Kluyveromyces lactis: one gene and its partners. The protein of the gene in region 1 purifies or fractionates together with the protein of each later gene. This does not show direct contact. Links are inferred from orthologs where the notes say so. Each region holds a gene or a part of one and is shown in the gene's direction. Other genes may lie near its edges.

Region 1 (10,195 bases):
AATTTCGCCGTATTCTGCCTCTTTCTGCACCAAGTATATCTCATTAAATAATCAGGCTCTGTTGTCATGGCCCATATGCTTTAGCAAAGACGGTGATGGAAAAAAAGAACAAAATAAAAAAACAGGAAGCGTAACATTGCTATGGCCAAGGCAAGTCAGTTTGGTTCCTAGAGGTGCTACGTAATATATGTATCTACTTTGAGCTCGCACCTTGTTATGGGATGAAAAAAAGGGTACAGGCCAAGCCATAGTAGGGGTGTGGGAGTTTATAAGAATCATATATAAAGAACAGCTTTCAATTGCACATCTTGTCTTGTGAAATCCTCTGAAATATCTTCTGCCGGTGTTAGTGTTTATACGTAGGATTGGGAATACCTAAGAAAATACAGCAAATATGTCCTCTGATACTCTACCAAACACAAGATTCCAATACATCAGAATTATTCCATCTCAGGAAGGTACTGAAGCATGCTCTGCTCCAGTTGAGACCTCATTCACTGAATATAAGGGTACTGTTGTGATTACTGGTGCTCCAGCAGCCTTTTCTCCAACCTGTTCTGTTTCTCACATTCCAGGTTACGTTCAAAAGTTGAACCAATTGGTCGATGCCGGTGCATCTCAAGTCTTCGTTGTTACTGCTGACAATCCATTTGCTAACCAACAATGGGCCAAGACTCTAGGTGTCAAGGATACCGACAAGATCAAGTTCATCACTGATGCCGGTGCCAAGTTTTCCCAATCTTTGGGCTTTGCCTTGCCAATTGAGTCCGGCGTTTTCTGGGCCAGCAGATACTTGGTAATTGCCAAGGATGGGAAGATTGTTTACCAAGCCGTTGAAGAAAACCCAGCTACTGATGTTACAGTTTCTTCCGTTGATAATGCCTTGGAACAATTGAACAAGATTAAATAGAGAGAAAAATAACTATAATACTATTAAGTAGTCAATATTAACGTACATTACTTCCTTCTACCTTTAACCCTTAGCTTCACTTTGAGTAGGGAGGTTCAAAACGGAAACGGCATTTTTTTATTTCAGTCAACAATTTAGAAGGATAGATCAATATATAAATGTACATACATATGGAAACATAAATGTGCAATGATGAGAAATACATTTGAACAACAGAAATTTCAACAAAACCAATTGTCTAATCTGTAGCATAGAAAGCAAAACGCTTTGTTGAAATAGAAATCATTCAAAGTCTCAACAGTTTATAATATCTCTTTAATCCCTCCTGATCGTGAAACTAGATCCATTCAAAAACGGAAAAAGTAGAAATAAAAATAAAAAGGAAAAGGAAAAAAAAATAACGAGTTTCGTTGGGAAAACCCTCGAGTCTGTAGTTGAAAGTTGTAATGGTAACGTGACGATCGAAGGAATTCAATCTCTCTCGTGTGTTAGCCCACCAACAAAAAACATGTTTACACGTGTGGTTTGGAAACTCAAAAAAAAAAACTTACCAAAAGGTTGTATTTCCAAAACCCAATAGAAAACAATGCGAAAACTGAATCGGCTTAAAATTGCCCTAATTTTTCAACTATTTCATTTTCGTTTCAATTGTTTACCTTAAAAAATTATTAGGGCAAAAAGAATAAAACAAAAACAAATTATTTTCTGATATTCCGATTGTAAAATTGATTTGAAGGAAAAAGGGGGATAATTTAACCGAGTTAGCATTTAGCATTGTAGATATGTGCTTGTTGTTTAAATGTAAATTAGAATAAGTATTATTAAAGATGAGAAAAAAAATAAAAACTAAAGGTAAAAAAATCAAAGGTGCACTTTCCGTGTTTTTCCTTTGAATCAACTAAAAACTAATATGGTCTTTGCATTTGCATCACTCATGTAATGAAAGAAAACCTATTGTAAAAGCATTTGAACAAAAGAAGAACTCAGAAAAGATGTTTTCCTAAGATTTTATTCCTGAATTTTTTGTTTTATAGATTTGATATCATTAATAAGTTAACTTACAACAACAAAGCGGCAGCACCGGCGACCAAAGCACCAGCAGCTGGCAAAGCCTTAGCAGCTGCACCAGTGTAATCTGGTTGAGTGTGAGAAGTGGATGGAGCTGGAGCAGCAGTAGAAGTGGTGTTCTTTTCAACTGGAGCTTCAGTGGTTGGTAGTGGACACCAGGTGGTGTATTCGGTGATGACGTCGTTGACGGTGACGGTAGCAGTAGAGACCAAAGCTTCAGAAACGGATTCGCTACATTTGTTTTCTTCACAAGAAGTGATGGTAACCAAAGTAGTTTGGGATTCGGTAGCGGTTTCAGTGGTGATGTTTTGAGCGGAGGCAACGGCGGCAACGGCGGCGAAAGCGGCGACAGTAGAGAATTGCATTTTTGATAAGTATTTAAGCGAGTGACTGAAGAATAATATTCTATGAGGTTTTAAGCTAAAAATGAATATAGTAAAATTATTATAATAATAGTGTAGAAGAAGAGAAAAGAATATATTAAAATCTGAATGGTACCTGCTGTATATATACTCTTTTTTTTGCCTCCTCCTTGGGTAAGTTTCTCTATTTCAGTAGATAAAAAAAAAACAATAAAGCAGTAATATTTTTTATCATATCTCCTCATAACAGGAAAAATCAGAAACTAAGGTTTCTAAATTTGTCATTTTTTTGGCCACGCCCCAGTGGCCGCAGTACAAATCGCGAGATTTGTTTGTTTTTGGTCATGAAAGAAAAAAATGAAAAATAAGAAACTAAACCAAAAAAAAAAAAACGCCAACAGTGAGAACGGGCTTTACAACGGACTTTTACAGTGGGTTCTAAAAGAGGTAAAAACTAGCCCGTAGCCAGCAGACTGGTATTTTGATTACCTGTCTTAGCGTTGACTGGTTGCTTATTCTACTAGACCGCGTGGTAGCAGACAATAATGGGAGAATACGACTCGTTTTTGCCCCTTTCGTAGTCAATCCTCTCAGTTCCTCTTCCTCGAAAGTAGAAACGCAGCAACTTTCTCATTGGCGAGTATTTTGGTTTTTGTTTTTTTGTTTCGGTTTCCACGTATAATGAGTGGAGTTTTCGGTTTGTTGAACCGTGTTTGCTTTGCTAGTAGAAACTTACCAAATTTTGAAAAAAATTTGACAGGCTAAGGCTAGCTTACCTGAGGCTAGCTAGGGTAAGCAAGATTTTGCTAGGATTTCCACCTATGGCGGATTTCTCGTTCTACTCCGTAGTGCTTACATTTCTGAGTCGTTAACAGCGCTTGCCCTCAAATCTAAAAAATCTAGAAAAAGAGTTCCTAGACTAATTTGGATAAATAGTAGGATTCGTTGCTCTACCTACTCCTCTGCCTCCCCGCCACATGGGGGTGACCGCAAAAAAAGAAAAAGACAATGCAAGAAACACCGCAGTTACGAAAATCTCAGGTTCACGAATGTGTGCTTATGCCCGTATTGCGGTGTTTTCTACGTAGCGGAAATAAATCTTGGCAAATTTATGTTCCCGTTTTACAAAGCAACGAGAATTTTATTTCACACTCTTTCTCGACTATGTTTCCAGTTTCCTATTCTAGTATATACCAGCTTACTCACCAATTATTGCTTGGTATTTTTGCCATATTTGGCGTCGGCTGGAGGCAATATTTTACTCTCGGTTTGGTTGGTTTAAGAATATACCAAGAAGTTGGCCTTTCGAAGGGATAGCTTGGGATGGCCAAGATCGCCCGTAATAACCCTTATAGTGCTCAAAGTTCAGTAATAGGCAAATAACGCACGCCCGCATCGAAGATAGCTAGCAACGCATATCTATAGTAACATAGGCAAGATATTAAAAAAATCCCACTCCAGATGAGAAAAAATAAAAGATGGTCTCATTCAAGATATCAGATAGCGAGCGATATGAACTCGAAATTTTTCAGGTAGAACTGAGGGGGAGATTATTTTCTACGAGCAATTTTCTACGCAATACTACAAGGCAATAGAATCCACGAAAAAATTACGTAGTTGCTGCGGACTCTTTTTGTTTTGATTTCCGTTGTTTTGGTTTTATAGTTTTGCGTAATCTTCTATATTTGGTACCCTGTAAAAAGGTTCTAGACTTTGGGCATTTCACTCTTTAATCAGATTCGTTCCCCTTTGTCTGCTTGCTTCTGCAAGATGGTGTGCTTTGTTTACCCTGTGCGATCGCGTTTCAAGGGTTCCATGATAGGGCTTTAAAGGCGCTAATCACAAATCTCAAGTATATCGTCGTATTCCAGAGTCGCGGGTTCGACTCATGTTGAGTGTAAGTCAGATCAGTCACCAGTAGAGAAGGATGTCATGGCTTGATTTGTAAATAGACCCTGGAAACGCCGATAGTAGGTTACAAACTACGACAGAGCGTCAAGGGCGCGGCCGGTGGGTTTTACCTACTGCAAATCATCTCACGGTTCGTCCATTTTTTCTATTCCATGCCTAGAAAACCAAGAGGTGTGATTTCCCGGGTAACATCAAGTTACTAATCCGTTTCTATGCATCTATTACCCTGTCTCGTAAGTTTTCTTATCAGATCACGTTGTATGTAAGTAGGCGGTTTCAAACCATACTTTATTCAAATTGATGTCTGTCCAAAAACTGTCATTTCGACTTACAAAGAAACTTTAAATGAGGAAATGTATAATTATTGATCAAGAAGTACCTTTAACGTTTATGGTCACCAGTATTAATATGTAACGTCACGGTATTCACAGGTGTGCAATAATTGGGTGGTCTTCTCAAGGGTTTCTTACTTGGTTTATCACGTGATATCAGTAGAAGTATTACCCGGATGTCATGTATCATAATCCGCCACTGCCCCTCCTGTTCGCAAATCTTACTCTACATACATACATGCATACACATATAATAACCCAATCTATCAAGCCGACGTCGATCCTATCTGTCAGAGCTGTTGTTACGTCTTAAATAGGAAACAAGTACACAGGCAGTATTTCAGGGTTAATCACAGAACCAAACGGTGATAAAATCTTCGAAACAGTGTTTTATATAATTCCCACTGTGACACTTTCCCCTCCATTATCGGTGAATGGACATCGTTTTTTGCCAGGCCCTTCCTTTTTTTTTTAGTGAATTAGAACCGTTGAATTTCATATTCAAGTCGTTAAATTTAAAAAATTGAAAATTAAAGAAAACTTGATAGAAACAAAACTAGGAGACCCTTCGACAACAATTGCTATAACGTTGCTTAAGTTATCTGCCAGTTCGAGCGATCTCCCAAAGAATTAGATTCATATACGTATCCTTCGTTGAACCAAAAACTCGAGGATATCGAAGCTGGACACGTTTTTCCAATTGAAATAAAATGTCGAATGAGGAATTTATTAGGACTCAAATTTTTGGTACAGTTTTCGAAATTACCAATCGGTATACTAATTTGAACCCGGTTGGTATGGGTGCCTTCGGGTTGGTTTGTTCTGCTACAGATACGCTAACAAGCCAGCCTGTAGCGATTAAGAAGATTATGAAACCGTTTTCTACTTCCGTACTGGCAAAAAGAACGTATAGGGAACTCAAATTGTTAAAGCATCTAAGGCATGAGAATTTGATTTGTCTCGAAGATATCTTCTTGTCACCATTAGAAGATATTTATTTCGTCACTGAATTGCAAGGGACGGATCTACATAGATTGTTGCAGACAAGGCCTTTGGAAAAACAATTCGTTCAATATTTCTTATACCAGATCTTGAGGGGGCTTAAATACGTTCATTCCGCAGGTGTGATCCATAGAGATTTGAAACCTTCCAATATCTTGATCAATGAGAACTGTGATTTAAAGATCTGCGATTTCGGACTTGCTAGGATTCAAGATCCTCAAATGACTGGTTACGTGTCAACCCGTTACTATAGAGCCCCAGAAATCATGTTGACCTGGCAAAAATATAATGTTGAAGTAGACATCTGGTCTGCTGGTTGTATCTTTGCCGAAATGATCGAGGGTAAGCCTTTGTTCCCAGGTAAAGATCACGTGCATCAATTTTCTATCATCACTGATCTATTAGGATCGCCTCCAAAAGATGTCATAGACACTATTTGCTCAGAGAACACTCTCAAATTTGTTACTTCATTACCTCATAGAGATCCTGTACCATTCAGTTCGAGGTTCCAGAACTTGGAACCAGATGCTATAGATCTTCTAGAAAAAATGCTTGTGTTCGATCCAAAGAAGAGAATTACAGCAGCTGATGCCTTGGCCCATCCTTACCTTTCCCCATATCATGACCCAACCGACGAACCTATCGCAGAAGCTAAGTTTGATTGGAATTTCAACGATGCTGACTTACCTGTTGACACCTGGCGTGTAATGATGTATTCCGAGATCTTGGATTTCCATCAAATCGGTGACCCACAAATCAATACAAATGCTACTTTCGACGACCAAGTAGCCGCTGCCACTGTCGCCGCCGCGGAGGCTGCCTCTAAGCAACAGCAGCAGCAACAACACCAAACTGAAGAGCAAACTCAACAGACAATCGCCTCTACTCCTCCCCAGGCTCAAGTGACCCCACAACAACTTGAAAGTGGCGCTAACTCTAATTCCAATTCTAACCCTTCTTTCTCTATTGGCCCTGATCCAGCAAACGAAACATTGACGAATTTTGCTAATCAAGCAGACCAATACGTCTCCAAATTCAAATAAGTTCAATGTAATGAAATCTGCTTGACAGAAGTATATTCTTTTTTTGTTTTTATTTCGTATTATATAAAGCATCTTTTAATCACAGCAGAAATGTAACTATTTACACGTTTCTTACGATAAACCGAATATTATTTATAATTCTGATAGGGCATCTCAACTAGGAAACAATTGCTTAACAAAATTATTACAAAAGTACTTAAATAAACAAAATCTCTGTTATGATAATACAACTTGAGGGGGTTTCACTCCGTTAAGCCGGCTTCAAGACATAACGAATAGAAAATAGAATCCTTCTTCTGTAACAAATTCTGAGGAGTGTCGAACTCTGTTACTCTACCTTTATCCAACACTATAATTCTATCACTGTCCATAATTGTGTTAATCCTGTGAGCAATTGTTAAGATTGTTCTTTCCTTAAATGCGTTTCTAATCGTCTTTTGGATCAATTGATCCGTTTCAACATCAACAGCTGCAGTTGCTTCATCCAAAATCAAGATATTACTTGAAATCAACAAGGCACGAGCCAAGCACATCAATTGCCTTTGGCCTACACTTAAATTACTACCACCTTCAGTAAGCATGGTCTCCAAACCATTAGATCCCATACCCAGTATGTGATCCTTCAAGTGTGATAAAGCCAATGCATTCCAAATTTCTTCATCGGTATACCGATTAGTAGGATCGATGTTTTCTCTCACTGTGCCTTCAAAGATTTGAGAATCCTGCGGGATAATCGACAATCCATGTCTCAAATCAGCCAAACCTATAGAATCAATTGGGATACCATCGATCACAATATGACCAGAAGCTGCCTCGATAATTCTGAAAAGGGCAAGTGTCAAAGATGACTTTCCAGCACCTGTTCTACCAACAATACCAATTTTCTCCTTTGGGTGAATATGTAAATCAATGTCCTTCAAAATCAATTCTAGTTCTGGTCTGTAACGGGTACTGTAGTTCACAAACTTTATTTCACCTGATTCTGGCCATGATGCTGGTGGCCTATGGTCTTTAATAATATATGGTGCTTCGCTCTTCAATTCTGCATACTCTTTGATTCTTTCAACACTAACAATATTAGTTTCTACTTCCACAGTCATTCTGACAATCCAATTCAACGATTGAGTGATTTGCAAAGCAAAACTCAATGATAGACCAATCATACCAGCAGTTAGAGTTCCATTACCAAGTCTAATAACAGCCAACATAGATGCAGCCAATATGATCACGGATCCGATAAATTCAAGTCTAAATGCCAACCAACGGTTAGCATTGACACTAGGATAGAATGCGCTCATATTATTGTCAACTCTGGTTTGGTTGATATGTACAAAGCGGTTCTGTTGAGAATACCCACGGATGGTAGTCAACCCCCCTAAGGTCTCTTGGAAGTGCGCATAAATGGGTGACCTAGTAACAGAATCCAACCGACGCAATTCTCTTGAGGTTCTCAAGTAGTACTGTTGATAATAGATGTACAATACACTCAATGGTAACACAATAAAGATAAATTGCCAAGTTGCCATGCAAATAACAACGATGGTGAAAGAGACCTTAACAACATTTGCAAAGAATTGAGCAAACGTTCTACCCAAAATTTCATCTACCTTATAAATATCATTCGAAAACCTGTTTAGAATTCTTCCAATAGGAGTTGTTTCAAAGAAAGACATAGGTGCCTTTAAAACACTTGAAGCCATTGCATCATGTAAATACTTGGAGCCATGGATAGTACAGAATACCCATAGAACAATAGTCTGTATTAATGTTGCCAGAGCGGAACCAACACCTAAAGCTAAGTAAATCATCAAATATCTTGTGGCATGGGGGTTATAGCCTTTCTCAGTATTGACTTCTGACCAGTGTTTGAGCCAGAAATTACCAATGACGGCCAACAGCATCGAGAGGATTAGGAAACCCAAAAACACACACACGTTGCGGGGGTTACACGCACGGGCGTACTCCATATAAATATCCCATTTGACTTTACCTTGTTCCCTGTGTTCTCTTCTGGCGCTATTTTCATTGTCATCAAAACCAATTGAGCCTAAGGTTGCCAAAGAAGCTCTTCTTAGAGATTTTAGGTCTTCAGCTTCAGATAAGTTTTCGGTGTCCAACTGATTTATATCTACGGTAATTTCAGAGATCTTTGAGTCTGAATAAGATTCAATTCCTTCCGACGCTAATTTTGCCAAGGAAGTAGTAGATTGGGAAGGAGTTGGTTTACCCTTCTTCCCAAACTCGGCAATAAGCTTCGATAGTGGAGAGTTTGTTGACTCATTAACTTGATCATAACTTCCCTGCTGAATGATTTCGCCGTTTTCCATGAGAGTAATGGAGTCCGCAATGGAGAGAACAGTAATTTTATTTGTTGCTAACACCTTTGTTTTGGAATGCAACAAACCGTGTGGACCCAAAACGTGTTCAATCAAATGTTTAGCGACATGCTCATCTACAGCAGCGAGAGGATCGTCCAATAAGTAAGTATCAGCACGAGAATAAACGGCACGGGCTAACGATAGTCTTGCTTTTTGGCCACCAGATAAAGAAATACCTTTTTCACCAACTAAAGTCTGGTCACCATCTGGCAACATAGAGAGATCAATACTCAAAGCACACGCTTTTATAGTCAGCTGGTAAAATTCTGGATCATACTTGTGACCAAACAAGATATTATCTTTAACAGTACCATTCATAATCCATGGAACCTGTGAAACGTTGGCGACGTCACCGTGAACAGTTGCGAAACCCTTCACTCTAATCAAATCTCCTAGTAGACTTTGAATAAGTGCACTCTTACCACTACCCACTTTCCCCACGATACATGTTAGTTCACCTTTCTTGGCAACAAAATTTATGTTTTTCAAGGCAACTTTATATTCAGGTTTGCGTTGCCATAAGAAAGTTGCATCGTTGACTTTAACACCTTCGTCACCAATATTCTTTACTTTTGGTTCACGTAAAACGGCATCATTTTGCAACTCTTCGTTAGTCAAAAATGCAAAGAGTCTATTTATGGACACAGATGCTTCAATAAATGAAGAGATTGCATTAGGAACAACAGCAAGAGGGAATGACAATAAATTGAAAAGAGTTAATGCAGGGAAGACTAGATCAGTGGATAATGGTCTTTCCTCCGTGTATACGAAAACAGCAAAGGTAGAACATGACACAAGGAAAGGCACGATATTGAACTGGAAATTAGCCAATGCTAATGTACATCCCATTTTCTTCAAGTTCTTCAATTCTTTCTCGTTCCTGACATGATCCAATTTGGCCTTGTATGGGATTTCCCACCCGTAAACTTTCAAGGACTTAATATTGTTCAAGATTTCGGAAGTGACTCTAGTTCTTTCATCTTTGTTCTTCATTTGAATTTTCTGCAATTTTTTTTGTATCCTCACAATAACAGAATTTATAGGGATCATGACAATCATAATGATAACACCAACCCACATGCATGGACCTAAAAGCTTGTATAGAGAAACCAAACACAACACAATTTGGAATGGGCCGGACCAAATAATTTGGCCCCATTGAGTTAAATCCTGTAATCTTTGAACATCA
Region 2 (9,848 bases), on another chromosome or scaffold:
TAATGTTATTTCATTGCATCAGATTCACGAAAAGAGTTTACAATTCTTCAAGCAAGAACTGAAAAACATTGGTTTGAGTAGTTTGAGCAACTGGGATATCAATGAAATCTACCCGCACTACATAGGTCATAATTTGGGTTTAGATGTGCACGACGTACCAGAAATATCCAGGCATCAACCTTTGCAAGAGGGTCAAGTGATCACTATCGAACCTGGTCTCTACATCCCTAATGATCCAAAATACCCCGAATATTTCAGGAATATTGGAATTCGTATCGAAGATGATATTGCCATTGGCCTGAATTCATACACTAACTTGACGGTTGAAGCAGCTAAAGAAGTAATTGACATCGAAAACATTGTTCAGCATGGTGTTTCTACCAAAATAGATCACGACATACCTCGTCCTCTTGATTTCTAACGGTTCGAAAATATTTAAAAGTTATGTAATTTCACTAGCATTTATCATGTAAATAGAACAAAACTACGTACTCTCTTAATCATTGAAAGTATCAGCAGTCTCATTACAGAGCTCGTTTTCGCTCAGAGCGAAAACTTCTTCTTCATTCATAGGTTCTTCGTCACTCGCCTTGCTTCGCCGCTGTATTCTGCTTTTCCTTAAAGCTAAATGTTCATCGACGATTACTCTCAAATTATGGTTTTGACGACGTAATTGGGAGAGCTTATTATCCAATGTGATATCTTCAGTCATCATCAAATCGTTTAGAGCCATCTGAGGGTCAAATTTCTGGTATAAAATGAGATCATCATGAATCTGGAAATTCAAACAGGCTTCCGAGATTAGTTGTGTGATTTCTTGAGTGACAATTTCTCGAGATATTCCGACTCTTTCGGATAGGTAACTAATTTGTATTTTAGTTGCTATCCTCAAATAAAATGCGTACATCTTTTGTCTCATAGTCTTAGATATTATATCCCACTTTTTTTCTAAGAAATAATCTTGCTTGCAAAGCCGCTCCATATCATTGTGCCACCAGTCGAAAAACTTCATGAACTTACTATTAATTATAAGTTTGCCCTTGCCAGCAAGAACATCAAAGTGTTTATGAAACTGTTCTAGTTCTTCTAAATGAATGAATGTGTCCAAATTATCTAGGGGAATTGACACTAATGCAGATACAGTGATGATGTAAAACATTGTTTCATTCGATATAAAGATATCATCTTTTGGAAGAGTTACCATTAGCTCCACCAAGTTTGGTATGTCGATGATTAGTTGAATGAACCTTTGTAAACACTGATGATATTCCCCCCTTAGGAACCAATTTAAAATCAATAATAACTTGCACTCGATGAAATCCGCTAATTCCGTTGGCTCAGAAGTAATGGGTTGGGTATTGAGCCTAGATTCAAAATCAATCACTGCTTTATAATGAGAATTTAGAATATGAGTTCTAATCAGGAGTTTGGTCCGTTTGAAAACACCCACTGAGCTCATAGAAACATCACTATTGATAAATATTATGGATTCAGCGTATTTATTATCAAGTAGCATAGATACTAGTTTTTGTTCCCAGGCAGGAAATCGCTTTGAAACAACACTCCAGGTTTTGAGCTCTCTACTTTCATTGTAATTTGGATATTTGGATCTGAAATGACGATCTTGAAGCACTGCCAACGGATAAAATAGCCTACCTTGTGTCATATATAATGCAATATTCTATCAAAAACAGCCCCAAAACATGTAAAAAATGCAATCGCAAACAATGCTAACTCTTTTTCAGAGGCTTTGATGTTATTCTAGTACTACTCACCTTGTTGGTCTTTTTAATTATGTCTCGTGTGATGCAGCTTACACTGTTTCTTGTTCTCGTTCAGATATGGCTGTTTTGCATATTATGTCAATTTTTCCAATATGATTCTGTAGTAGGAAAAATATTAATCACGGTCGAATCTTTGAGTACAACCTCATCGCAGACACCTCAAGAGCAGTTTAGACAGGATAGTCAGTCAGCAAGCATCAGAATCTGTATGTCGATAGGTCGAACAGTTATACATGTGCCATGTGCGCAGCGCTTTGTTAGGGCATTTCATGCTACGCGGGTACCTTACGGCTCACCGTTGAAGGTTAAGTTGGACCTTCTGCAGAAGACACAGACACTTGTGAAGCGAACAGAGAAGGAAAATGGAAAGCAGAGGGATATCGCTCGAAGGGAAGCACGCAAAGCTCGGAAGTACGGATATTCCATTAAGAAAGCGAATGAAATCTTAAAAGGGAGACACAAAATTACTAATCTTGATAAGTCTATCAAAGTAGGACCAACTTCGGACGATGATACGAGCATTCTTTCTGTCGCTAACGATAAAAGATTAATGTATACTATACTAGGTATATCTAGACCTCAACTAAAAAATTCAATATTGGTGGAACGCGATGTTGCGAAATTTTGTAAGAGAGGCCAGTTGCAAAAGGCTTTATTTCTTATAAAGCTTGCTGGACCAAATGGTGCAGCTGGAATGAACACATTAATGACACATTATCTAGAAGTTGAAAAAGATAGCCATTCCGCTGTGGATTTATATTCTTGGAGAAAGAAGTGGCAAATACCTCCCAATGAATACACTGAAACAAATTTGTTCAAAGGGTTGGCAAGGTTGCCAGAACCAATTTCTGTCAAAGTTGCAGAACGAGTGGTGAAGATAGTTTTAAAATTGGTTGAAGATGAAAGACTCAATAATATAAATTTTAACGCTGCATTAAGTGCGTTGGCGAACTCTAACGACCCTAGTTACCTGTTCAAATGTTTTGATTTGAGACCCAAAGGTATAAAAAAAGATGCAATTGCGTACACGCAACTACTTATTGGATGTGCGAAGATTACAGATGCAGTGGAAGCCATTCAAAGGGCTGATGATATAATGAACTCTGCTGACCCCAAAGTTATCGATTCACAAATGTTTTTTCATTATTTGAACGTTTGGCACTCTAGAAGGGATCTACGATTTTCCAATTGTGTGTTGCCTCTGCTTGATATATTCTATGATTTTAAGGTCCCAAATGTTCGTTTCAAGAAAGAAATACCAGAATTTGTCAAGTTGCCTGCTTTGAAGAATTGGAATATCAAATCTAAAATGCGTTTGACTCCCCATGTTGCACATCTTTTAATGGAAAATTGCTTTAAGACCGGACAATACGAATATGGTATCGCTTTCTTCGAGCATTACCTGGGAAAAAGACCAAACCTTTTCAACAACAGAACAATAAACGCTGCGTTGAACTTAATTATCAAAGCAGATCCGGAGAACTGTGGAGAGAGATGTTATGAGCTACTTCGTAAGATGATGGATGATGGTATGTTGCGGGAACCCTTACAGCACGTCGTTTTAACTTATAAAGCATTTGAAAGACAGGCTACTAAAAAGCTAAACAACAGTGATCCTGTAAAGGCGACAGAACTTGTAAAATCATGTCTTGCACTTATGAAGGACAATGAAGCAAAGACTTCGATTCAAAATGATGAGTACAAGAGCTATTTATCCTGGAAACCATGGATGTTCTTATTGAGAATTGTTATGTCATGCAAAGACGCGTTACCTTTGACTTTCAAGAAAACGATAATAGACGAGTTCATTACCACAATGCTCTGTGATCCAGTAATGTTGTTGAAGCAGAGAGGAAGCACTCGAGAGAGTATGCGTTTTGTTTATCTTGAAGCTGTACGTTTTATAAAATCATTGGAATCATCTTTGAATTTAACCGATGAAGAACTAAAGGAAGTGCAAGCTGAAGCGGAAGATTCAAATTCTTTACTTAAAAGAAAATTTTTGTTTCGTAGGCATCTAATAAGATTAAGAAAGAGAATCCTAGAGGTTGTGGATAACCTAGAACATGATAGGGATTCTAACAGCCCCGAAATCGAAAAATTGTTTAGACAATATTGTGAAACAATATTGGACACCAACATTGATGACTTTTCACCAACATAATTGAGATGCCTCCTGTACATACTAAACCAATGAAAAAGGCATCTCACTTGGAGGCTTGTCTTTTGCTGGCTCTGCATTTCAATAATTAAACTATTGCAAACGGTGTAATAATCAAAGGTACCAATGGAAAAGACGATAGGTACATTATAACAGATATTACATAGAGCGATATATAATGTACAAATTTGCCTTAAAAATCCATAATAAAAAAGGTAAGAGAAAAATTATGTATATACAAGAGAAATGTTGATAGAGGGATCATAAAGCTCAGTGATCAGTAGTGAAGTAAAACCACCAAGAGGCAGAATTGTTTTTGAATGAACAAATACTTCTGTCTTTAGTCATATTGAAAAAGAGTTATTGTTGCAATTACTCGAAGAACTTCTTCATTTTCGACAACCATTGAATGTATTCATTATTCTCCTTGAACTCAGAGTAATTAGAAATGAATGAAGTTAAATCGGTGGTGATACCTCTGGATTCCAAGTAAGATTCCAAGGACTCTTGCAAAGATTCATCCAAGTTAGAGAATGGAGGACCGTGGTATCCCAATTCTCTCTTGATTTCGGCTTCTGCTGATTCATTCAAAGCATCTTCTGCTGATTCGTATGGGGTAACGGAATCGACGTAGAAAGAACCTTCTTGCATGTTCATCAAAAGCTCAAATGAAATTGCTGTGTTGTCGGAGTTCTTCACAACGACAATGTTGACATTGGCAAAGTTATCAGACATACTATCGAAATCTTCCTCCAATTGTTCTTCAGATTGTTCTAAAGCAGCTGGTTCGACAGGCAAGTTAGCAACTTGAGCAACGTCAAAGAAGACATTGATAGTTTCATCGTTCAATTGTCTTCTAATGTGAGCCAAGTTACGGCCTTCTTGAACGACAGGCTCAAAACCGTACTTGGACAGGAAAGTAGCCAATTCTTCTGGCAAGTCGACAATTTGTTGAGAAGTTTCTAATTCGACTTCGCTGTTTAAAACTTGAGCAACCTTCGTAGTATGTTGGTTGAAAGTGGTAGCAGTATAGGAGAGTTGACGGGAAGATGTGATAAAGGTTGGACGAGCAATCACATTTCTGGCCACCTGGATGGAAGCTGGACGAGCAGCAACACGGGAGGCAACACGGGTAATCAAACGTAGGGACATAGTATTCTATCAGGGGAGGGGGCTTATCCTATAGGACTGGTTTGTTTTAACCCTTAAATTTGGATCAAATAAGCTAGCTCATCGCTTGAAATATCACAGTTCAATATAAGAGCTTATAATCTTTCCAGAATTCTTTTTCCTTTCAGCTCTCGATCCTAGAGTGTGGCAAAAAGAAAGTATATCAGGGTAATGAGGTGGATGCCCTTTTCATATTTACCCGCACGTTCAGCGTCACGTGAATGAGTAAAGTGTAAACAAGCCAATAAAAGAGGTAAAGACGCCATCCGGGTACAAATTGCTCGAACAGTTCTAAGGGCGGACCCTGGTACAGATACAGTGCGTTGACTTCTAGGCGTACGTAATTTTCGCTTTTCGTTTTGTGAGTAGTGGTAGCCTTTAGTTTCCGAGTTATTTCACTACGTTAATTTCTTCGTTTCAGCTTGCAGAAAGATGTTCGAGACCCGAGTCCATTTCTATTGAAAATTCTTTTCTTTTGTGAGGGAAGCGAACTTTCGAACCGTTTTGGTCACTGCTTTCCGTGCTAACATTCTGGATCAAAAGTACGAAATTTTTCGAGCCTTAGTCCCATGGTAACTCTCGCATTACTATTTGACAAATGAACGTTTACTGATCAGAGTGTGTTTAGGGCAGAGAGGTAATGTCCGTTTCGACCGTAGTCTCGAACCGGAACAATGATCAACGCCTTGGTTTTCCCGAGAAAATTCGTGTTCGTTTTTGCAAGAGCACGGAGGACAACATTCATTGTCAGTTCTAAGAAAGAAAAAAAAGCCAGTTGCAAATAATTGTAACGACGTAATTTACTGCGCAAAAGAGCCCCATCTATGATTATGCTCATGATTGAAATTTATTCCCAGGATTTTGCTGTGGTGTGTTATGCAGCCATCTGCAATTCTTCTATTAAACTACTTTTCACAAGTTGAAGAGTACAAGTCCAAGAACATACTCTCAGACTAGTACCCAGGGGATCTAGATCTTTTGACTATTAGCATATTTTTCGGTCCTTATTATACCGTTCTTTCGGCTCTACTGTTGATTTCTAGATTTGTGTCTTTTTTTTTGTTCATACATTTCACAAAGCAACAGAGTGTCGTAATTAACCATAGAAACTGCTTCTTCATCCGTGATATCCTTGTAACATGTCTTGACAATTTGCGGTTCTTATTCAACAAGAGATGAGTATTGCTTGGTAAAATTGCAATCGGCATGAGGGTGTAAATAGTTTAGAAGATTTATCGCATATTTTTCTGAGTCCTTTGTTTTCAGTACCTTTCTGCCTACATAAGGTGTCTTTTCAGGTAATTTCCTACAGATGAAAAGTAATCTAATTAAGTAGCAAGGTGTCTGGTTCAACCAACGAAGTGGGCATTACTATATCACATATGCATTTATGTAATTCGACCGTATATCACGTGGATGTGCGTGCTAATTGTTGTTGTTGTTGTTTTTTTTTCCATTGGATATGTTTCTCGAATGCATGCATCTGTGTATCCTTATGCAATCCTCTTCTCAATATCTTTTTTAGAATTTCTTTTCTTTTCGGTCAAGTGTTTTCTAATTCGTAATTTCTAGGTCTAGTGCATTATTGAACCAAATAGAACAGCTTCCAACATCTTCAGCTATCTTTTAACTTTGTTCGAATCACTGCTTTAACGAAGACACCAAATAAGAACCTATACCAAGACAAAACTGTCAAATTAAGCATACAGAAAGAAAGTACTTTGTTAGTAATAGGGTGTCAAATCTAATCTATTTATAATTTCGAAGAGAAATGGAGTATATAGACACGATGGGCACCAACAAACAACAGGAAGAAATCCAACTCAAAGAACCTCTTTCGTTTTCAAGGCCTCTCGCTAGACCACCATCGATATCTGGATGTACAGAGTATAAAGATCGTGATTCAATTCAGAGCAGCTCATTCACATCGGAAAGTTCATCAGTTCTAAGTTCGTCATCCACTTTGATCGATGATAAATCGTCGAATTCATCGTTAGCATCTCCTGCCCTGAGCGCAAATTACAAAAGAAATTCAACGGAGGTACTGCCCGAAAAGATTCTGATACATGCGTCGACTTTCCCTTCAGCATCTGAACCTTCGTATAGTACATGTACACCTTCACCGTTGTCAGCATCTCATAGAAGTTCCCTTTCGTTTTCACGGAGTAGATCGCGGAGCATAGCAATGAAGTCCAATAGCTTGCCCGCTATTCCAACAATATGTCCAAAAGATCTCCGATTTCCTAAACATAAAGACTGCTCGTTTATTAGCCCTGCGGACTTGCACCATTATATTGAAAATATGGACCAGAATCCCAATGAAAAACTGATAATATTCGATACAAGGCCGTTCATAGAGTTCAACAAAAATCACATCAGATCGGCAATGCACTTGTGTCTTCCCTCGACTTTACTGAAAAGGAAAAACTTCAATCTGGAAAGGTTGATAGGTAATCTACCTTCCCCAGGAAGGGAAACTTTATCGGAATATTTATTGGGCAGTGACAGCGCCACTGCAAATGCCAAGGTGGTTATTTACGATAATGTGGCAAACCAGACAGATTATGCAGTATCATTGGCATGTTTCGGAATATCTTCTAAGATCCTCGATCATGTAAGTGACAAACAAAAGCCTTCTGTTTTCATTCTCGCAGAAGGTTTTGAATCATTTAATGCAGCATATCCTGATGACGTCGAAGTTGGTACCATGGATTTGGAAGACTCTTATACCTTAGATTCCCCATCTTCCCCTCATCAGGCAGACAATATTTCTCCAGTTCAACCGCAGTTGAAACACTCTGGTAGATCTCATTCGCATTCTTGTTCTCCTTTGAAACAGCCACCACAAACCGGTAACAGTAGGACTCTATCTGGTTCCCCAATATCCACATCATCACCATTATCATCTTTGTTTGGATTTAAACTGCCGGCACCGATAAATAATCAACATTTACCAACTTTTAAGTTACCGCAGATTGAGCATGACATTTCCGATCTAGATAATTATGTGAAGGCCGTAGAGATCAATGAACGCTCTCAAAGAAATTCTTTCTTAGAATCAGAAAATGACCTAAGATCCTTCAAATTTCCTGCTTCACCGTCCAAACAGTTCAGTACCGATGCGACTTCGTCATCATTTACTTCAACTCAAACAGCATTATCGCCAGCAGATCCTTCTAGTGGCCACAATTCATCTAAACTAAATTTCCAAGTTAAATATGATAACCTATACCACAGATTTGCTTCAGAGGAGATCAATCAGGTAGTTCCTTCCTGGTTCTGCCAATTAATGGACATTCCAAAACTGCACTTTATATCTAAGTTCCAAAGATTGGAGTTATTAGAAAGAAAAAGACTTCAGAGATTATTGGGCCCCTCATCGTCCGCTTCAATTGTCAGCACTCAATCTCGGTCTACTGTAGCTGGTAACGACAGATGTGTCGAAGATGGTCATTATGATGTTGATGAGGATGATGCTGAAGAGAACTTACAAAGCATCACAATATCATCTGGGGTAGAATTTGGGACGAAGAATAGATATAAGGATATATTTCCTTATGAGCACACAAGAGTAAAGCTCTCGCATTCTAGTATATGCAGTGCTGGCTGTGAGAATTCAACCCCTTCCCCGAGATCTTCCGCATATAGTTCCTGTGCTAGTGGCTTGCCAACTCAAGATGAACAAGAGGATGTTTGGAATACCTATATTAATGCTAACTATTTGGTTAATCCTTTTGCCCAACTTCAGCAAAGCTCTACCGCTGACATCAAGTCTGTACGTTATATTGCCACCCAAGCTCCTTTGAAAGAGACAATTTCGGACTTCTACACCTGCATTCTGAACAACAATGTGCCCATAATTCTAACGCTAACTGATGAGTTTGAAAATGGAGTTGAGAAGTGTTGCAACTTTTGGGCAAACGGTAACTATGATGGTATAAACGTCAAACTTCTGGATGAATTTAGTACTATGTTACAAGATAAACCAATGAAGGCAGAATCTAACCATGAGGAAGATATGTTTGCATCTAAGTTTTGGAGACATCTTAAATTAAACAAAACTTCAGACAATAACAATGAGATCATCATTCGAAGAATTGAACTGAGCTATAATAATGATAGAAGTAAGTTCCAACTATTGCAATTACAGATAAAAGACTGGCCAGACTTAGGGACATTGCTCAAACCAAACGAAATTCTGCAAATAATCAATTTGAAGAATTTTGTCATTGATAGTCTGTTCGCACATAACGTGTACTCTCCTAATTACACACCGACTGTGCTCGTTCATTGTTCTGCTGGATGTGGTCGAACAGGTACTTTGTGCACTGTTGATTCCATATTATCAAACCTAAAGAAGTTTGATACCGATGAGAATCCTTCTTTGTATGGCGCCTTCGCCGTACCGTTAACTCCTAATCTTTCTCCAACTACAAAATCTAATTCTTTTTCTGCTACGAAACCACCAACAAGTCTCATGTTTGATCCAATCGTGACAACCGTAAACCAGTTCAGAAGACAGCGTATTTCTATGGTTCAAAATATCAACCAATTTCTCTTCATTTATGATTGTCTATTATTCTATTTTACATTGAATTTGGAGACTTCACCAACAGACCCTGAAAAGCGTAATAACTGGCAGTCTATGACAGACGAGAACTCACACCTTGACATTTTGCACAAATTTATAGACGGAAAGGTAAATGAGCTACAGCAAGTCTGAATCCATCGTT
Region 3 (11,074 bases), on another chromosome or scaffold:
CGCTAAATACGTCAGGGATATTACTCCAAGTTGGCATAAATGATCAAACTTATGCCAATTTACATGTACATAAATTAGTTTATTTATCATTTTGAAGACATTTCAACACCTTTTGTTCATTGGACAGATTAGAAAATAAAGAAAAAGTCCTTGTCACACATTAATTTTGATTGATGACAACTGGCACATTAATCTGTCGATGTTTCGGACTATCCCTGTTACATGTGATGGATTCTTTCTCTTCGATATCAGATGAAATCATGACTGTCATTGGCTATATATCTGGTGGTGTATATTAATGCAACTGGTGCTCTAGCATGACTGTGTTGATGGTCATTATCCAGATATAATACATCAATATATATTAATTCAGACTACTTAAGGATGTTTCACCTTGTAAGCCTCCCTTTATAATCTCGGTACTTAACCGCCTGCTGTATCGGTAGCTATCCGACGATTGTATCTAACGTGCCTCCAAACGTTTACTCGTGAACAAATAGAGCACTTCCCCAAAAACCATTGAAAGTCAGCTCGTATGGCGCAGTGGTAGCGCAGCAGATTGCAAATCTGTTGGTCCTTAGTTCGATCCTGAGTGCGAGCTATTTTCTTTTTTATTTTTCAAATCCAATTCTCTCTTTTTTTATATTTTGAAGACCAGTGCTGATTAGCTACTGCACATGTTTACTGTTACTAGTAGTAACATATTCAAATATCAAAAAGACGCCATAAATGGTATTGAAACATGACTAGTTCCACAACAATCCTGATAAGAGCGGTTTCAATTCTTGTATATAAGAAAACTACGACAGTGGAATCACTTGACTTGCATTTGGTATAACTTTGGCAGATTCCGAAAGATAGGGTAATTGTTAACGCTACTTCATCAGGTAATATCAATAAGGATTATCAACTAAATTAAGGATGCTATTGAATAAAGGGCTACTAGCAAGTTTGTTAGCTTACACTACAACTGCTTTTGATTTGCAGCATATATTTTACAAAGAACAGTATTCGTGTCCGATTAGTCTACCGGCAAGTTGCTCAAACAACACTGAGATTAAGGATTCCTGCTGCTTTGAATTCCCTGGTGGCATCATGTTACAAACACAATTTTGGGATTACATACCGCCTAAAGGGGTTTCTGACCCGGATGAATTAGTTAGGCATCTAGGGCCGTTGGATTCTTTCACAAACCACGGTTTATGGCCGGATAACTGTGATGGAACCTATGCACAGTTTTGCAATAGAGAAAGTAACATTGATGATGTTTGGCATTTACTAAACGATGATCAGTTCAACGGGAGAGATGATCTTCCGATCAACGGAACTGATTTGTTAGAAACTATGGATATGTATTGGAAAAGTAACACAGGTGATGATGAAAGTTTGTGGGTACACGAATATAATAAGCACGGAACTTGTATTCGAACATTATATCCGGATTGTTATAAAAAATGGGGAGTGGCTGGGAACAGTAAGAAACAAGCAGTTTATGATTACTTCAGAATCGCCATGAAATTATTCCATGATAAAGACACTTATCAGACATTAAAGTCTGCGGGAATTGAACCGAGTGTGGAAAAGAGCTACACCAAACTTGAAATATCGAATGCATTAAAAGAAGGTCACTCTGGTGAAGTAGTACACTTCTTATGTGACAGACATGGTTCCTTGAACCAAATTTGGTACTTCCACTCATTGAAGGGATCCTTATTAGGAGAAAAATTTGTACCTATTTCTGCGCTACCCAAAGGTTCTAATTGTCCGGATGATAATATTAAATGGTATCCAAAGGGGCATGTTCCATCCTCTTATAGACCTCCAAATGGCAACCATCCTGGTACCAGGGGTGTTGTAAGAATTGGTAACGGTAAAGGGTTTCTAATCAAAAATGGACATTGGTATTTAAAGGGAACCCCAGCTAATTTCTTCTTGATAGAGGCACCATTTGGAAACTATTATTTGAAGACAAGAATGGGATATTGTGGTATCGATAATTCTAATAAAGTGTTGGCATGTAACAAAAACGTTGCCCAAGCCGCTCAATTCGAATATGACGCAAAGAAAGGTTACATTGGATACAACGGAGCTTATGATTGGTATGCAACCAAATATCCAAGGGGTAACCAACAAGCTCCTGTGTACGCAGGTTCAAACGATGATGGATACAATTTCCAATTGAAATTCGTAAAAGCCTAGGGTTAAGTTCAATTCTATATAAGACATACGGAAACAAAATGATATAAAATATAACAAAATACAACGGCACGAAGCAGCCGAAGCTAATCTAATATATACATAAGAACCTCTTAGTTTCTGGTTTTCCCAGTGACACCTATTAATCTGCTTGTGTTGTCGTCAAAGTTGGATAAATTTCTGGGCTGATTGTGTGGGAAGTGAAAGTTGCTGGAATTATCAACTCTAGTAGATGACGGCTGTTTCCATCCTAGAAGCACTCTAGTATCATCAGAATCATGCAAAGCGTTCGCTACCCACTCTGAAGTACTTGAAGTGGAAGGAGCACTTTGGGGTCTATCAAGGTATACACCGTTCCCGTTACTGTTTGGTCCCGCATAATGTCTAGTCCACTTTCCGTTGGCAGACAATTGAGAATTATCCGTATCCGCTTTAACATTGCTATGACTAAGTGCCGCTAGCATTCTTACGCTATCTTGCAACTCAGCCACTTTATTTTGCAAGGCTCTGTTGGAAGCATTTGATTGGTACAGTTCATTTTTGAGAGCTTGTATTTGTAGTTCATGATGGTATAACTTTTTCTCTAGTTCATCAATCTTATTAACGCTAGAGTATATACTATCTAGCCTATTTGTATCAGAGGCTAACGAAGGTAAACTAATCTTTGGCTCCGGTTTCCTGGATAGACCTTCCCTTAATTGGCGTCGAAGAAACTCATCGTCGGTGGGTTTACTACTGTTGACATTTCTATTAATGTAATCGTTGCTGTTTCGTTCTTGCAGCAGTGTTGGTTTCTTTGAAAACTCCATTTTTTTGGTCGGACTCTGGTTCGTCATAAGTTCTTGCAATGTTCTTTTCGAGTTCAGATACTCCTTCCTAATGTTCTGCAAAGTATCATCGTTTTCCACATTATTCAAAAACTGTGAAACATCCATTATTACGGGAGTAACGGACGGTAGCAGATGAGACGTGAGGTTAGGGAACTTTTTTTCGTTTCTGGTATATCCTCTGCTTGTACACTTAAATTACAATACTTCTCTTAGACATGATCCACACATCGCGCTCTTAAGTCGCAATGTATCGATATTCTCCAATGTTTACACAAACAAATTCGTGAAACCGTCAACAAAGAAAGAGAGGGGAAAAAGAAGTCGTATCACGTGCATCAAAAAGAAAAAAAAAAAAAAAACAAAATAAAACAAAATGCAGATCATCCGGGTAACACATGCACATCGTCTTCCGGCTCTTTCCGGCTCCGCGATCAGTTAACTTCTTCCGTCTTATGGATACCTAAATTTGGTAATATCGTCCCGTCATCACAGCACAACCCATACACCACTTACCAGACAAATCTGAACCTAGCATAGCCCCGAATGTCAGGCTCATTATTTCATTTTTCTGAACAAGCTGGCAGTGACGTATTTGAATTATACAACTGAGCTCAAGACATTCGTTCAGCAAAAAGCTTAGACTAGTGGGAACCCGTTGTTGGAACCTGTTGACATGAGAGAGCAAAACAGTGGTTATTATTGGCTAGGGTAACTCCATCTTCTCTTCTCGCCTAGAACACTATGATAACAAACTTGTCTATTTTAAGAGCGAATGCGTTGTCAGAACAATGAATAGAATGAGACTTCTTTGATTTTTTTCAGAAAGCTTTTCCATGCATTGGAATTGACACGTATATTCCTATGCCGATGGATCCCAATTCAATGCCTCTCGAACAAACGGTACATAACCCAACTGGCATTGCAACAGCACGATGAGTTAATTATATACCTACTACATTCAGAAGTAACAACTCCTACGCAAAAATCTTGCACCTCGCTTGATCGCCCAGTCACACAGCAGATGCAGCGTTTCTGCAAAAACAGGAATTTAAACGGGCACAGCATCGGATCCCAGGATTCATGATTAAACGGTTACTTGCTTACATACACTTCCAAATTTAACTTGCTCTTGCTAGCGAAATTCCATTGATTTCATTAAAGTTCTCAGTATTAATTGCCTTTCAGAACATCCTTCGAATTATGGAACATGGAACAAAAAAAAAAAGATCCAGTCCTCCTAGTCATTTATATAGAAAACAGAATATATACAGCAGACAGAAATCAGTTTCTGAAATTTTAAGGTATATTGTTTACACAGCACACGGAGCAAAGCAACAACTACACAAGATATATTTTGGGTAGACCCGCAATAGGACACCCAGGACAGTTGTGTAGTGGGTATACAGAATCAGGTTATTGATAAAGAGAATCAAGAACGCCTATTTTTTGAGAGTCTAGATTATCTAGAAGGATAAGAGAAGAAATTAAGAGTTCAAGTATTCGGAGAACAGAGACCATCGTTAGTCTAAATTTGATTTAGTCCTAATTTTGATCTTTTTCGTACTACATTCATCATGAGAATGCAAATGAGTATGAATATGTCGCCGAGCGGGAGCACTGCAACCAGCTCACCAAAGATTGCATCACCTGCCATGTCTAATGTGAACGGCAGTAATGGTGGGCAGCACGGTACCAGCGGTGGTTTTAACACTAATGGCATAACAGGACTGTGTTTGGAAACGGTTAACAGTCACTGTCTTAATATTAATGGGGTCAAAGGTTTGCGGTGGCAGCGACCCAATTCGATATACGCGGACTTGATGGAACAACCTCAAGTGAGGGACTCGTGTTTGAACACAGTGGCAATTACAGACTTGAAACCGGACGATTCTACGTTTTTGCTTGATTTAACTAGTCATGGATACCCTTTGAAAGATTTTCATACCCTTCATGTTTCGTTCCCCAGTACGTTGCTTAGAAGGCCTAGAACCACCTTCCATCAGTTGATTTCCACATTGCATATAGAAACTCAGGCGCTCTTGAAAGATAGGCTTCTTAGTTCTGATCATATTGTCATTTACGATGAGCATTCAACGCTTCATCGTTGTAATCAGCAGACTTGCTCTGTGATTATGAAATTGATACCATTCCTCAATGAGCAAAACCCCTCGTATACGATCAGCTTAATCGAAGGTGGACCATCGTCCTTCAATAAGCAACGGTTCCCTCCAAATGTGGCGGTACCGTTACCATCGTTCAAAATCAGTCATCCGGAGGATGGGAAGGACAATAATGGCAACAGTAAACATCCTAATTTGAAATTGCATATACCACAAGTTGACGAAAGCCAAATTTCTCCAAATTTGATTTCTTCAGCTTCATCAACTAGGATGTTCATACAATCTTTGAAAAGAGATAGTATTCATTATTCTCCGAACTCGATTAAAAAATACTTCGTCTTTCATACCCCTGAAGTACTGCCCTCTCATGTACCGAGATGGTTGTCACCGTACAACACGAAGAACGACTCCGTAGTGGAACGTATATTTGAAGACTTCGAGACTTTGGAAGCATTAGAAGTTAGAAGATTAGAGAAGTGTTTGATGGCCACAAATCCTTCTTCTAATGTCAACTCCGCTCAAAACAGTAATAATAATAGCAGCGACAACACCAACAACAGTAACAATAACAATGATAATAATAATAATAATAATAATGATACATCTAGCATAAGGTTGCCAGAAAAGCAATCACCACATACTGAACTTGGAAAAGAGTACTCGTTGCGGAGTCTTCAAAAAGAATATAAACCTAACGGAAATTTGGATGAATCAGATGACGATACTCTAGTCATGAAACATTCGAACGGTTCTGTGGATGAGAAGTTACGGAGGGATATTAAGGAAGAACTCAACGATTCGAACAAGCACAATTTAATAGGAAAATTGAATACCGTTTCACCAGGACTGCTTCCCGTTTTGAAGAACGATGCGGACTCTGGTATCACTGTTGTGTCGAGGAGCTCTCAATACCCTGATGCCAGTGACATTAACGCTAGTAATTTTAACGAAAAAATGGCAAATTCAGATGAAGAAGTGGTTGAGACTCCGCTGGGCAATTATCAAATGACTAAAGGGATTCAATCGTTCACCAAGAACAGATACTCCAACATTCTACCTTATGAGCATTCAAGGGTGAGGTTACAACCCTCTCCTCTTGCAGAACAATTGACTTTGACTTCAGATCAGCTATCTTTACTATCGGCGCCAAAATCTGGTAAATATGACAACCTCACCCCCGGCGGGAACAGAAGACGGGAGTTAGAATTACAAACTGTTGACGAAAATGCTGGCTACTTCTCACAGGATAGTTCACCTACTAGATTATATTCACATCCCGCCAATCGGAGTGAAACAACTGCAACTTCTGAAACAGATTATGATACGGAACCTTTCAACGATTACTTCAATGCTAACTATTTAAGATTACCACAAATTAACCCTGATTTCAACTACATTGCAACACAAGCCCCTCTACCATCTACCATCGATGATTTTTGGAACGTTGTTCTTTCTAAAAATCTAAAAGTTATTATATCCCTTAATTCTTATGATGAGTTGGACATGAAGAAATGGGATATCTACTGGAACTCAAAATCCATCCGCAAACATGAAGTCAAGGTAACAAATACCTATGAAGATGTTTTTGATATTCCAGGTTGCATTTTACGTGTCATGAATGTATCGAAATCAGATTCCAGAATTCAATCACCAAATAAAAGAACAAAATTCGACCAACTTCCTGTCAAGAATGAGTCTCGCCCCCATACCGTGTACCAACTTCAATACACAAAATGGTTAGACTCCTGTGGAATCAACATGAGAGACTTCATTCATATTTATCATATCAAAAATCTTCTCTTGAATGATCCAGCTTCGCTTTTCAATGCTCTTAACAATAAAACCGAAGATTTTTTGCACACTTATCGCAAATTAGGGTTATTGTCCGTGAACAAAAACAATTCTGGATCTCCAGTTTTGGTTCATTGTTCTGCGGGTTGTGGAAGAACAGGTGTCTTCATTACCTTAGACTTCTTGCTAGGTGTATTGGACTCACGTTCTAATCAATCAAACAAAATCGATGTATGGAACATGTCAGCGGACTTGATTTTCATTGTTGTTAATGAGCTTCGCAAACAGCGGATCTCCATGGTGCAAAATTTAACTCAATATTTAACGTGCTACGAGAGCATGTTGGAATTTTTCTATTTGAAGGAGCACATATAATTATATCTACGTAAATATACAACGTTATGCTAGCAGCATTTCATTCAAAATGCCTACTTAATGCGATTTAATTATAATTAATGCTTTATTGATGAGGTTTAATCGACATGAACAGCTGCAGGTTTTCCATAAGCACAGGATCCGCAGACAAAATGAGTTTCTGGAACGAAGTATCATCCATTTGACTTTTCAAATAAGACAACGTATCTGAAATAAATCCTTTAATACTAACATTATGAGCTGGATCATTTTTTTTGATTAATTCGTGAAGTCTAGCTTGTTCACAATTTGTATCAGAAGAAGAATCTGGGTCTGATAAGTGGTACTTTTCACAGTCGCCTGAAAAACTTTCGTTGATTTCTTCTAACGATTCAACCCATATCGAGAGAATCACTTTAAACTCAAGCAAATAAGGGGTCGCACCAGTTTTCAAAAGTGAGGAGATGCCAAGTAAGTGAATTTTTTTCAGTTTTGGATCATAAACAGAACCGTAACACTTGCACCATATTTCGAAAAACGTTTTGAGCACGTCATCTAAAGAAGTCTCATTTGTCACTAACTTACGCTGACTTGCAGGGAGTCTAGAATTTTCCAGAGGTCCGTCAATACTTTTTAAATAATCAGACAATAAATTTATGATATTCTGTGGGCCATTGAATGATATACGTGCCAATATCTGGAACAATTGACTCGCTTGATATGCAGATAATTGCTCTTGTAAGAAAATTGCATTGAAAATACTCTTGAAAACGGAATTGTTTGAAAAGTAGAATAGTAATGACATCTCATTTTCTCCTTCATCTGAAAGTGCCAAAACATCCCATATTTCCAAAAGTATGGTATACGAGTCGTCACGTAAAAGTAACAAGTAGCTTGCAGCATGTTTTAAGATTTCAGTAAAAGCAGGATAGGAATAAAATTCCTGCGCGGGCAACAAAATGGCGTAACTTTTTAAGATCTCCAAAGAAATAGGCAACAATTCTGTCTGGTTCTCCACGCAATGAAGTAGGAATGGGCTAGCGTTCAAAAATCTCCCATCAAGTGATTTCTCCGTAGGATCGTAATTCTGTAGAAGTGAGTGCCATAGTTCTAAACCATCCTCTAGAAGTAGTGAAGTATGTGGTGAGTTTGGGTTGCAGGCAGCCTCGATTATGGTTAATGAAATGTCCCAGGTTGCGTAAGAATATTTCCCTAAAGAAATCGATAAATACCTCAGCAAGCGAAGTAGAACATTTGCGAGTATTGATTCAGTTGGTTCATTACAAGCAAGCTGCCAAAACTCAGGGACAATCTCAAGTATCTGCATTAGGAACTGTTTATTCACAAGCGGTTTTGTTTGGATAATCAAATCTGTAAGTGTGTTTAATACGTATAATCTAGTCTCTGTTAAGGAAACATCAGGTAAAAGCTGCTGTAAAAAGATTACAACGAAGCTTTCCAAATATGGCTCGAATATGGATTTATTGAAATCCCAGTCATCAATCATTGTTCTAAACGCTTGTACAATTGATAATTGTACGACTTTGTCCGATTCTGTTTTGAACATATGTAAGAAAAATTGGTAACACTGTTGCTTAGAATGATCCGAAGATTTAGTGACCCAGGCATCAATAATCAAAGCAACTCTCCTTCTGATAATTCTCAGTTGATCGGGCGAAGAATTGGATTTTGATGCTTCTGGCAAGAAAACCGTTTCCAAAAGCCTGTTGAAATCCACCATATCAGTGATTGCATGCGAGCTGAGTTGAAAAGCACAAAACAAGGCATCCTTCTTCAAAAAATCATCGATCGAGTCAGATAATTGAGCGGCCTCTGAGTCAATCTTATTTAAAAGATAAGGTGTTAAAAGATTCTGAAAGGAGTCGATTAGGTCTTGGAAAAAATTTTCAGCACAAGGCCTGATTTGATATTCGTAACTAGAACTCATTTGTTCATTTACCCATTCCTCAGGATCCAGAGACCATGCTTCCAAGTCTGCTGGCCGTAATCTCAAATACCAATCAATCAATAAGTCTATTAATTTCTTTACAAGATCTTCGGAGAGGAATTCGGTGGTTAATTTATGAATAGCAGCATCCACTTCAGATTTATCACTTCTAACTTTGATGGTTACAGCACCCTTTTTGGTGATAAAATTAATAACTTTCTTCAATATTGAAAACCCTCTGATTGCAATCGTTTCCCAGAATCCTGTTTGGGACTCTGTGTTTTCATTATAAACATCAGATGCTCTTTCGATTATCAAAGTAGTGAATGTTATGAGAATAGTCTTTGATGATGGCATCATTACAAAGTTTGCCGTAGATGCAGAAATAAGATTGAAATACAATTTGCAGTAACATTTGATAAACTTTTCATACATATCAACTGTCTTAAAATTGTCATAATTCTTCAATAATAATTGGAAATGCTGTTCAGACAGGGAAATGAATTCGACCACAGACTTGTCTTTTTGTGGGGATTCATATCCATCAACTGCAACTCTTCTTAAGACCTTTAGGGCCAGATACGATATTTGCAACTTAGATATATCATCACTCTCTAGAGAGGCAGAATTTGTCCACTTGTTGAAGTAATGCATATAGATCCTGGTTAAAAGTGGAAAAAGTAATGGTATTTTTGATTGCATAGCAGGTCGACATCTCCCAATTCTGGCAACACCTAGTGTCTTTATTATTTGGTTTAAGTGAATCAAAATGTTGTAGACTTTAACATCATCCTTCCATACAGATTCGTCATTTAGAAGTAACTCTACCTGTTCAAATAGATGCGGCCATTCGACAGGGAAATCGATTCGCGCTACTCTAGCAGTAGCCTGTGCATTTTGTATGGCTAATTTATCATTTGGTTCATCTATCATACCGAATAATCTATTACGGATTTGCTGTTTCTCATCCTTAGTAATAGCATTTATTCTTGTTGATCTCCAATACTTGTCTAATCCGTTTTTGAACTGAATAATGGCCAACCATCTTACTTGCAAGGATACTGACAGATCCATATAAATCGATTGTAACAAGTAATGGAAACCTGGCAATATCTCCCAAGATTTAATCTGTTGTTCTGCCTGCCTTTGCACTTCAGACCCAGCATACTGTGGATTCGATGCTTGTTCTAAAACTTGAACAAGGGCAAGTTCTGTTAACTGTGTGGACATATTTGAAATCGTTGTTGAGGGTGCTTATTATCTTAGTGCATATACCTTTTCTAGTGGAAGATACTTGCCGAAATATTTCAAGTGACTTACCTTGTTCCCACCAATAGTGTTACTGAACCCTGAAGTAGGTTTAGAAATTTCAATTTTCAATTGAATAACAAAGGAAAACTCAAGCCAATAATCGAGGTTTTAGTTATGTTCTTGATATGCACGAAACTACGTTCGCTGGCACAAATAGACGCGTCCTACTGGGTATCAATTATACCTGATATGTTACAATGGTTTGATTTTGTTAGTTCATTAGTGCTTTCCCTGTCTAAAATGTTGAAAACCAAAGTGCCAGAGAATTTGGGCAAATAATGACTAAAATCATCACTAACGATATGAAACGAATGAACCAACAACGACACAAATGAAAGGAAGCAGTTACGAAGTACAAGAAGTTTCGACAGGTGTATCAAAGTAATAAAAAAGATTAAATTGTATTACAAATGGATCGTATAGATACCTACAAAAAGCGTTTGTGTTCAATTGAAACACGGTATAGTTAACAAAACCTGGCGTCATATTACAATGAAAAGAATTTCATAAAATCCGGTTTGGTT

Evidence for each region.
Region 2: the proteins of HOG1 (region 1) and PTP3 purify together in Saccharomyces cerevisiae (affinity purification with western blotting; 3 studies listed by BioGRID, with this or other methods). This does not show direct contact. The link is inferred for Kluyveromyces lactis from reciprocal best matches to the Saccharomyces cerevisiae genes HOG1 and PTP3.
Region 3: the proteins of HOG1 (region 1) and PTP2 purify together in Saccharomyces cerevisiae (affinity purification with western blotting; 4 studies listed by BioGRID). This does not show direct contact. The link is inferred for Kluyveromyces lactis from reciprocal best matches to the Saccharomyces cerevisiae genes HOG1 and PTP2.

Annotation. Positions count from the first base shown.
Region 1 is NC_006042.1:1,861,916-1,872,110, forward strand, and holds HOG1 (mitogen-activated protein kinase HOG1), read left to right. Parts: upstream 1-5,293; coding exon 5,294-6,628; downstream 6,629-10,195. Other genes in the region: thioredoxin peroxidase AHP1, read left to right, coding at 395-910; CCW12 (Ccw12p), read right to left, coding at 1,969-2,343; ATP-binding cassette glutathione S-conjugate transporter YCF1, read right to left, coding at 6,871-10,195. UniProt on the Saccharomyces cerevisiae protein: Proline-directed serine/threonine-protein kinase involved in a signal transduction pathway that is activated by changes in the osmolarity of the extracellular environment.
Region 2 is NC_006039.1:669,829-679,676, forward strand, and holds PTP3 (tyrosine protein phosphatase PTP3), read left to right. Parts: upstream 1-6,886; coding exon 6,887-9,838; downstream 9,839-9,848. Other genes in the region: ICP55 (aminopeptidase), read left to right, coding at 1-421; PCI8 (Pci8p), read right to left, coding at 497-1,666; MRX1 (Mrx1p), read left to right, coding at 1,795-3,948; MAM33 (Mam33p), read right to left, coding at 4,318-5,097. UniProt on the Saccharomyces cerevisiae protein: Major phosphatase responsible for tyrosine dephosphorylation of MAP kinases FUS3 and HOG1 to inactivate their activity; it also has important roles, along with MSG5, in the inactivation of FUS3 following pheromone stimulation.
Region 3 is NC_006040.1:561,142-572,215, forward strand, and holds PTP2 (tyrosine protein phosphatase PTP2), read left to right. Parts: upstream 1-4,600; coding exon 4,601-7,312; downstream 7,313-11,074. Other genes in the region: ARG2 (acetyl-CoA:L-glutamate N-acetyltransferase), read left to right, coding at 1-43; RNY1 (ribonuclease T2), read left to right, coding at 922-2,199; SPC29 (Spc29p), read right to left, coding at 2,310-3,131; karyopherin KAP120, read right to left, coding at 7,398-10,469. UniProt on the Saccharomyces cerevisiae protein: Major phosphatase responsible with PTP3 for tyrosine dephosphorylation of MAP kinase HOG1 to inactivate its activity. May also be involved in the regulation of MAP kinase FUS3. May be implicated in the ubiquitin-mediated protein degradation.